2 linked regions of the Oryzias latipes genome follow. The protein of the gene in region 2 interacts with the protein of the main gene of each other region in a biochemical or structural test. Links are inferred from orthologs where the notes say so. Each region holds a gene or a part of one and is shown on either strand. Other genes may lie near its edges.

Region 1 (4,329 bases), on a different chromosome or scaffold from region 2:
TTACTCACCTCACTTTGCTCACTTTTCTAAGAAAGACAGGAAAAACAGAAATGAGTCACCATGTTCAACATTCGTTTTTTCAGTGCATGTGCGTCTCATTGACAGAACTCTCCCAGTGTTGTGCCTGAGAAGTAGGAAACATCTCAACTGACAATGTCGACATGTGTAAACATCTTGAATTAAAAATAAGCAAAGTGTCATTGATATAGGATTTGGTCCTGCACAACCAAAACTTTCATGGTTTATTTTTCATGGAAACCAGGTGAATTTGTGTGTCTGTTTCTGAATAAAGTGTGTGCACTGCAATTTGAAAAAAAAAAGACTCTGTTCATTAATCTTGAAGAAAAAAAGTCATTTTCTCTTGAAGAAAGGAGCCAAACAAAATGAGAAAAAGCTACTGTAATTGAAATTCTGCAGCTGATAGAATAGATTCAGCCGGTGACACCTCATTTCATTAAAAGCTAAGGACACACGGCTCCAGACAGGAGCAAAGGGTGGTTCCTCTTTGTCTCCCTACAGAGTTGTGATGACCTTGATGTGATGGAGACACATAGACACTCACTCTCTGGCAGAAAACAGCATTAAAATAATCAATGGGTGGGAAAATGCAATTAGGGAGAGTGCACTCTCAGAGCAGGATGGAGAGCAGACTAAAAGAGAAATAAAAAGCATGCACAGGGGTGGAATGATGTTGGTAGAAAATAAGAATGTGTTTATTAATAAGCACATTATTTACAATGGTGGAGGCAGGAAATATGTGTTTTAAGCCTGTAAAATAATACTTTTTTTGTACATTATAGAGTTATTACTTCTAAGAATCATGTGTTTCACTACAGTACATTTGGACTTGTTTAAATTTACAGTCATAACTAACACACTAGGAATAAGGTGAATACATTGCAACAGCAATGTAAGACCTGTTTTGGTTATGTTATTTGCATTTTTAATTAAAAATAAAGAAAACTGTACAACTTTATCGTTTGTTTACATTTTAATATTCAAGCCAGCAGTCAGAGTAGTCAATTAGTCATCATTTCTTTTTTTACTCTTCTACCGTGAAAAAGGTCTGGCTATTGTGAAGCAGTATCATTATCAAATTTGATGACGTCAACGTTGCCGGTAACTCAGATGACTTCCAGGCTGGCTGTTCTCTTGAAATACCAACCCTCCCTCTGAAATAAGCGAAACACACGGGCTTCCGTATAGTTCCGCGGGAGGGAGGGTTTGCTTTGAGGAACAGCTTCGTTGCGACAGCGGTAAACAGAGAAGGCTCAACCAAACTTGCTGCTACATCCCGCCTTATCTCCATATAAAGTCGTTTATAGTTGGTATAAAAAAAATTAGCGACTCTCATTGGCGGAATGAAATGTCAACCAAGTAGATTTGGAAGTTTGTTTGGCTGGAAAGACTGCAGTTTAGTTGATGGGCTGGGCGGGGGGGTACTTGTTTCTGAAAGTGGTTTCTCGTGGTGCGAAGATTACGGTTTGCGTTACACTATATTTGGGAGCACTTTTCCTCGTTTATGACGCTCAATTTCTACTTTTTCTTCGTTAAAAAGTTGTCGCTGACGTCTTTGTGAGCTTGTGTTTTTTGTGGGAAAGAGACCAAACTGCTCCGGATCCAACGAAGGTGGTAAGTCGTGACTCAGCTGTTAACATATTATTACACTAAAAAAAAAAAAAAAAAAACAAAGAAAAATTCAAAATATTGCCATTGTATTAGTTAGTTTTCTCCAAGGATGTCGTGCTAAAGCGAAGCTAGAGCTACAGCCATAACTTAGCTACAGTCAAATGTAATATAATTCTGTGAATGCATCATGCCTAAAGTTAGTGACAGACAGACAGACATCGTGTGCCAGGGGTCTTTCTTACGTAAGTCTTTAAACTAAAGCCATCACACATTTCAATGTTAGTTGCTGAGTGACGTTAGTTAGTAATAATATCACGACCAGGACTCAAAAGTGATGACGTTTTTGTGTTTCTTTTTCGACTATCCGGTGGTTGGTGCCTTAAATTTAAATAATTTACTTGTATGGAGGTCGTTGTTTATTGTTTTTTTCCTTAGTTGTCCCGCCCATCATATTTATGAAGAAAAGTACTGTTGTTCATTCGTAGCACAAATAAGATCTGCAGGTATATTTAAGCCCCCAATAGTTCTGAAAACGTACATAGAATTACATATACATGTATAGTATAAAGCATAAATATGGCTGCATGACAATTTTCTACATAAATATCATAAAATAGCATGCATTGTTGTCCCTGAGCCATCTCGCAGTCCCAGGCTTTGTAAAAGGGAAACTTGGCATGGTGACTGTGCTCTGATGTTTAATAAGGAAGTACTTTCCTGGAATATCACTGACCTTATGTAAGGATTGTGCATTACCAGTAAGTAACCACACAGAAAAGAAAAAAAAACACTACAGCAGTTCTCTTTCTGACTTTCTTATTAATCATTCTGATGATTTCTCAAATAGCAGTGACCTGCATGGAGCTTTGAGAAAGGAAAGAAAACGATTAATCAGTGACTGTAGTGAATTTGTGCGATTTTACATACCTAGATTTCTCAACATGATGCAGCAATGTCTACTTCATATTTCATTAAAATACAAAGATCAAACAGAAAGTTTCAGTGTTGTTGTTGTTGTTGTTGTTTTACTTTTTAGTACAAGGCTTTTCTGAAAATTTGTGATAAAAGTACTCCTGTATTTTTTCATGTAAGGAGGTTCGTTACAAGATTTTGCTTGTATTGCGATTATATATTATTATATATAATTTGCTGCAAAATAACATTAAAATAGTGATAGTACCCTAAAATGAGTTTCCTGTGTTGTGTCAGATAAGCTCTGAATACTCCAGTTTCAGTTTTGCTGTTAGAATAAATAGCATAAAACATTTTTTGTTTGTCCAAATGATATTTATTGCAATGAAAGTTCATACCCTGTATATTATTACAGCTTTGATCTGTATTCTCTGGGCAGGAAGAGCATTATTTTGGCTATTGAGAAGGTCATATGTATGAGTTTATTTTTTGTTTTGCTTTTTTCAAATACAGTGCAAGCATCTAGTTCACATTAGCAGAATCAACAATACAGACACTGTTGTGAGAAAGCTTGTGTAACAATAGTCAAAGCATTGTGTGAGCTTTCGGACAGAAACTGGAGCCTGTAACCTAATATGGGTGGTACAGGACATGTCTTTCTGTTAAATGCCTTGAATGGGAGCTCAATTTGCAAACAAGGAAGCAGTAGCCATCTTTTATCAGCTGAGTCAGCCAGCAGGATGTGATCGATAAATTCAAAAACAACAAAAAGTCCCAGATCGGCAGGTGGTTAATGCTTAAAACACACGCTCGGATTTGAAGGGAAATCCTAATCTGACAGTCGCCTATCGCTTCAGAGGAAATGGTTTGTCTGGGTTTTGATCCATGCCCTCTGCATCTGAGAGGAAGAAGTTTGCTTTGTCGGTGTTTCATGCAAAAGTTGCCGGGGCAATTCTTTGACCAGAGATAAGCTTTTCAATGCTTTACAGCTGTTCACTCTGACCTATATTTTTTAGGGGAAGGCACAGTTTCAGAGAACAGGAAATGACTTTTGGCAACGCGAGGCCTCAGCATTGGCCTGTTGTCGTTTTCAGAGAAATCTGATGTTCAACCATTTCCCATTGGTGCAGTCTGATGAAGAACATTGAGCGCGGTTTTCTAAAGTATCATTTTCTGTTGATTTTCTGCCTGTTTTGTGTTGATAAAGCAGTTTCATCTCTGGCAGATTTGAGGCAGTGCTTGTCAGGATGGCTCAGTGGAACCAGTTACAGCAGCTGGAGACCAGGTATCTGGAGCAGCTCTACCACTTGTACAGCGACAGCTTTCCAATGGAGCTACGCCAGTTTCTTGCACCCTGGATTGAAAGTCAAGACTGGTAAGAAATGATTCAAGTCTTTGTTTAAAAAGTCTGCTTTTATCTGCTAGATAAAGCTGACCTTGATCTTTCAGGGCTTTTAGGTTTGCAGCTATGAAGTCATAGCTCATATAAACACTTTCTCTCACATTTTATGTTACTGCAATGCACTTTACCATGTTCAATTTGAACTTTTTGTGTTGTGATCACACACAAAAATTATAGTCTTTAAATATTTTCACAAAGTTGGGATTTCTTTTCAATAAACCTGGGAATTTTGTGTTGTTGGAATCTGGAAATCGATATGTTTTTGTGTTCCCCCCACTATTTTCTAAGGGCCTATGCTGCCAACAAAGAATCCCACGCCACCCTGGTGTTCCACAATCTCCTGGGAGAAATTGATCAGCAGTATAGCCGTTTCCTCCAGGAGAACA
Region 2 (3,821 bases):
ATCTTCAGAAAACATTTACCGGTATTCATGACTTTAGTAAACAGTTAACGGTAACATTATGTAATAATCATTGATTATTAGAACACAATATCACATTAAACCAGTAATTATTGCTACACATTCAGATCAAGTAAAGAAAATCAATAGCTTATTGATTGTAATTTAAACATTTCAGTGATCATTATTGCACATTACAATGTAATAATCATTGATTGTAATTAAAAGAGCTTTGATTATTTCACCACAATCAAGTTCAAACATTTATTTGGAATTATTCAAACACCTGTTGATCCTTAACTCTTCTTATCTTTATATCGTGAAATCAGAGTTTCTTTATACCTTTTCTTGAATATTTGAATATTTTTTTAGCTCATTACTAAACCCGTTCCAAAATTTAGTGCCACACACCGACACAGAGAAACATTTCTTTGTGATTCTTATCAATTTGATCTTGAAGTTCCTACATCCCCTCAGTCTGTAGCCTCCTTCATTTTCTAAAAACTGTTTTTGGATATTGAATGGTAACGATTTACCACTGACTCGTATAAAGGTTGCGCACTGTAAAAATCCACAAGGTCATACAGTTTTCAAAGTCTGGATTCATAAAATAAATTGTATGATCAAGATAGCCAGCTTTATGACGGCTCGTTTTTGAAGTAAAAGATGTAGTGAGCTCTTGTAATCATTCCCCAGATTTCTATACAGTAGGTGAAATATGGCAATATTAAACAGTACAATACATATCTTCAGTTTTATTGTAAAATGTATTTGGATTTACTTATAACTGAAATACTTTGTGAGACTTTAGTTTGTATGTGTCTGATGTGCAGCTTCCAACTTAGTTTGTCATCGATAACAAGCCCTAAGAACTTGTAACATCTGTAACACTTTCAATTAGGGCATTATTTATTTATTTCAACTGAGAGCTCGGTACTGGCGTTGTAGTTACCAAAAACATCACTTTGGTTTTATCTAGGTTCCAAGATAATTTGTTGTAATCCATCCATGATTTTATTTTGGTTAACTCTGTGTTTACCACATGTTCCCTATGATTGTCTGTAGAATAGAATATGTTTGTGTCATCAGCCAATAATGAGTTTCATAAGCTTTGAAACATTGAATATATCCTTTATGTATATATTGAATTGCAGCGGGCCCAGAATTGATCTTTGTGGGACACCTCAACTTATCTCAAAATGACACATGTTTTTTTGATATTGGGTCAAATGGCATATTGATAATTAAAAGACCACTGGGAACGTTTTTAAAATAGGTCAAACGATGATCTGAGTGAGACAAAATACAAAATATCTTCACTGTATTTTTTTATGCAACTGTGACCATAAAACGGAGAAATGTAATGTTTTTTTTGTGACTTTCATCTAAACTTAAATTTTAGCTTTGATGCTTTTGATTGTTGCATTTGTCTATAGTTACACAATCCCTGCTTTTGTTCGGCTGCCTAACACATCCCGCTGCTCCTCCTCCCGCAGACTCAGGAGACGCGGGAGATTCTACATTTTCACTACACCACCTGGCCAGACTTTGGGGTACCAGAATCTCCCGCCTCTTTCTTAAACTTCCTGTTCAAGGTGAGGGAGTCCGGCTGTCTGAATTCCGACCAGGGACCAGTGGTGGTGCACTGCAGCGCTGGCATTGGGCGCTCTGGGACCTTCTGTCTCGTGGACACCTGCCTCTTGTTGGTTTGTACCCAAACTTCATTTGTGATTGACATTGTTCAGGACGTTTTGAGAATTAAGAAGCTGAAGCGTGACTATAAAGATGTGGAACATGGAGGCTGACGTCCTGCATGCCTTTGCTGTTCAGATGTCTCTTCGTAAGGACCCATCCTCTGTGCGTATTCGCGACGTGCTGCTCGAGATGCGTCGCTATCGAATGGGCTTGATACAAACTGCAGATCAGCTTCGCTTTTCTTACCTGGCTGTAATAGAAGGTGCCAAGTACATCAAAGGGGATGTATCTCTGCAGGTAACTTCTTGTCGTCCTCTCCCCTGCTCAGATGTTTGCAGGCTGTTGTCAGATGCACGTCGATAACTTCAAGCATCTTGCTTTTAAGGAGTCGTGGAAAGAGCTCTCAAATGAGGAAGACGACCCTCCAGAGTTCACACCTCCCCCTCCTCTTCCTCCTCCGAGGGACCCTTACAACGGGAAAACCGGGAGGTCCTTTTTCCCTGAACATGTAGAGATCATCCCTGAGATGAGGATTCCCACTCTTGGGTAATATTTTCAACCATGTTCTGATTCTGTGAACAAAGGTTGACTTCCATGGCTGCTTTTTATTGAACAGAAATGCATTTCAATAGTGAGGTTTACTTTGAATGAGGGCTTGATACTCAAAAAGGAAGAAAACAAAACATCCTTACATCCGTCATCACAGACCTGAGCTTGTCCCCCCCCCTCAATTTAACCCTTAATGTCCATTGATAAAGTGATGGAGAAGCTGCAGACAAGATGGTGCCTGACATCATCATCCGGAAGCAGAAATTATACAACTAACCCTAACCCAAAAGTGTTTAGAGTTGGAAAAAGTAAACTTTTATTAAAGCTTAAAACAGGAAAAATGGTAACTCTTGGCGCCGCCAGTAAAATAGTTTTCTTCGAGCGATATGGGGAGACTTCTGGTTGAGGAGTTCCGGTTTTGGCAGTTGATGTCTGCAGCTAGGTCCTCTTGCACTGATGATGTTGAGAGCTTACCTTTATTTTGGAGCTGCCACTGGATGACGGCCGCTTCCAGCTGGATTTGTTTTTGATGACTTGCTGTCCCACAACAGTCCGAAGAAGGCAAAAATCTAAAATAAGAATGAAATTTGAGGATGTTTTTACTACAGTCTCGATACAAATAAAAAAAAAACATAAAGTTCAGGAGCAGCTCAACAATCAACTCCTTCCAATTTATTTGTTTGGAGGATAAGCCCCTTGAGATGTGTCATCTCGTTTTCAAGGGGGTCCTCAACATACAACAAAACAAGCAAATGCCGACAGATACAGTTGAGCAAACTTTACATATGTCAAAACAGAGAAAAACTTAAAATTTCCAAAACAACGAGCAGACACACACACATACCCACACACACACAAACATTGACATTTAATGCTCCTACTAGCAGTTAGTTTAAGGTAAGGAAACAAAAATAATAAATAAAAAGCAGAAAAGAAATCACTCCTCCATGTTGGTTTTGGACTCCAGCCGCTGTTCACATCATGAAGTCGTCACTGCCAAAGCTTCAAAATGCACCGCAGGACTTCCTATCACATCAGCACAATAACTTATCCCTGAAAGGCCCCTGCCACACAAATCTCGTTTTAGAGCTGATCGCCCTTGTCAAACCTGAAAGTCCTCATTAGGTTGTTGTAGAAGCTGTGGAACTGTAGGGCAGCTCTGGCAGAAGAAGCAGTGATGCAGAACCTCCCATCAGTGCAGCGTGACTGAAAGGAGCTGGAGCCTGTGAGGGATCTTTGCTAGAATGACGGCATGCCGATCCTTCAGCCGTCAGCTGCAAACTGCTTGCTGCACGTCATTTCGCATGTTGTAGCTTGCAGTTTGCTCAAGCAGGAGTTAATTTTGTTTTTTCAAACTGTCAATATCAAATATGCATTGATGTGCGACTTCTATTACTTCAACAGTGACGCATTTTGTAAAAAAAACAAACAAACATGAAGATCTTTTCAGGATAAGACAGTGATCCAACAGTCATGCTTTGGAATATTTGAACCTCAGACTCTGTTTCAGTATTTTGAGGTCATTTGTATTTGGAGAGCAACCAGATTCTCCTTCATGTTGGTTTTTTGACTCTACTCGC

What was found.
Region 1: of the proteins of ptpn1 (region 2) and stat3, one has a biochemical effect on the other in vitro, tested with the Homo sapiens proteins (2 studies listed by BioGRID and IntAct). The link is inferred for Oryzias latipes from reciprocal best matches to the Homo sapiens genes PTPN1 and STAT3.

The regions. Positions count from the first base shown.
Region 1 is NC_019866.2:6,345,179-6,349,507, reverse strand, and holds the start of stat3 (signal transducer and activator of transcription 3), read left to right. Parts: upstream 1-1,433; 5' UTR 1,434-1,632; intron 1,633-3,766; 5' UTR 3,767-3,788; coding exon 3,789-3,916; intron 3,917-4,231; coding exon 4,232-4,329. UniProt on the Homo sapiens protein: Signal transducer and transcription activator that mediates cellular responses to interleukins, KITLG/SCF, LEP and other growth factors. Once activated, recruits coactivators, such as NCOA1 or MED1, to the promoter region of the target gene.
Region 2 is NC_019865.2:21,849,280-21,853,100, forward strand, and holds part of ptpn1 (tyrosine-protein phosphatase non-receptor type 1), read left to right. Parts: intron 1-1,493; coding exon 1,494-1,703; intron 1,704-1,827; coding exon 1,828-1,989; intron 1,990-2,077; coding exon 2,078-2,238; intron 2,239-3,821. UniProt on the Homo sapiens protein: Tyrosine-protein phosphatase which acts as a regulator of endoplasmic reticulum unfolded protein response. Mediates dephosphorylation of EIF2AK3/PERK; inactivating the protein kinase activity of EIF2AK3/PERK.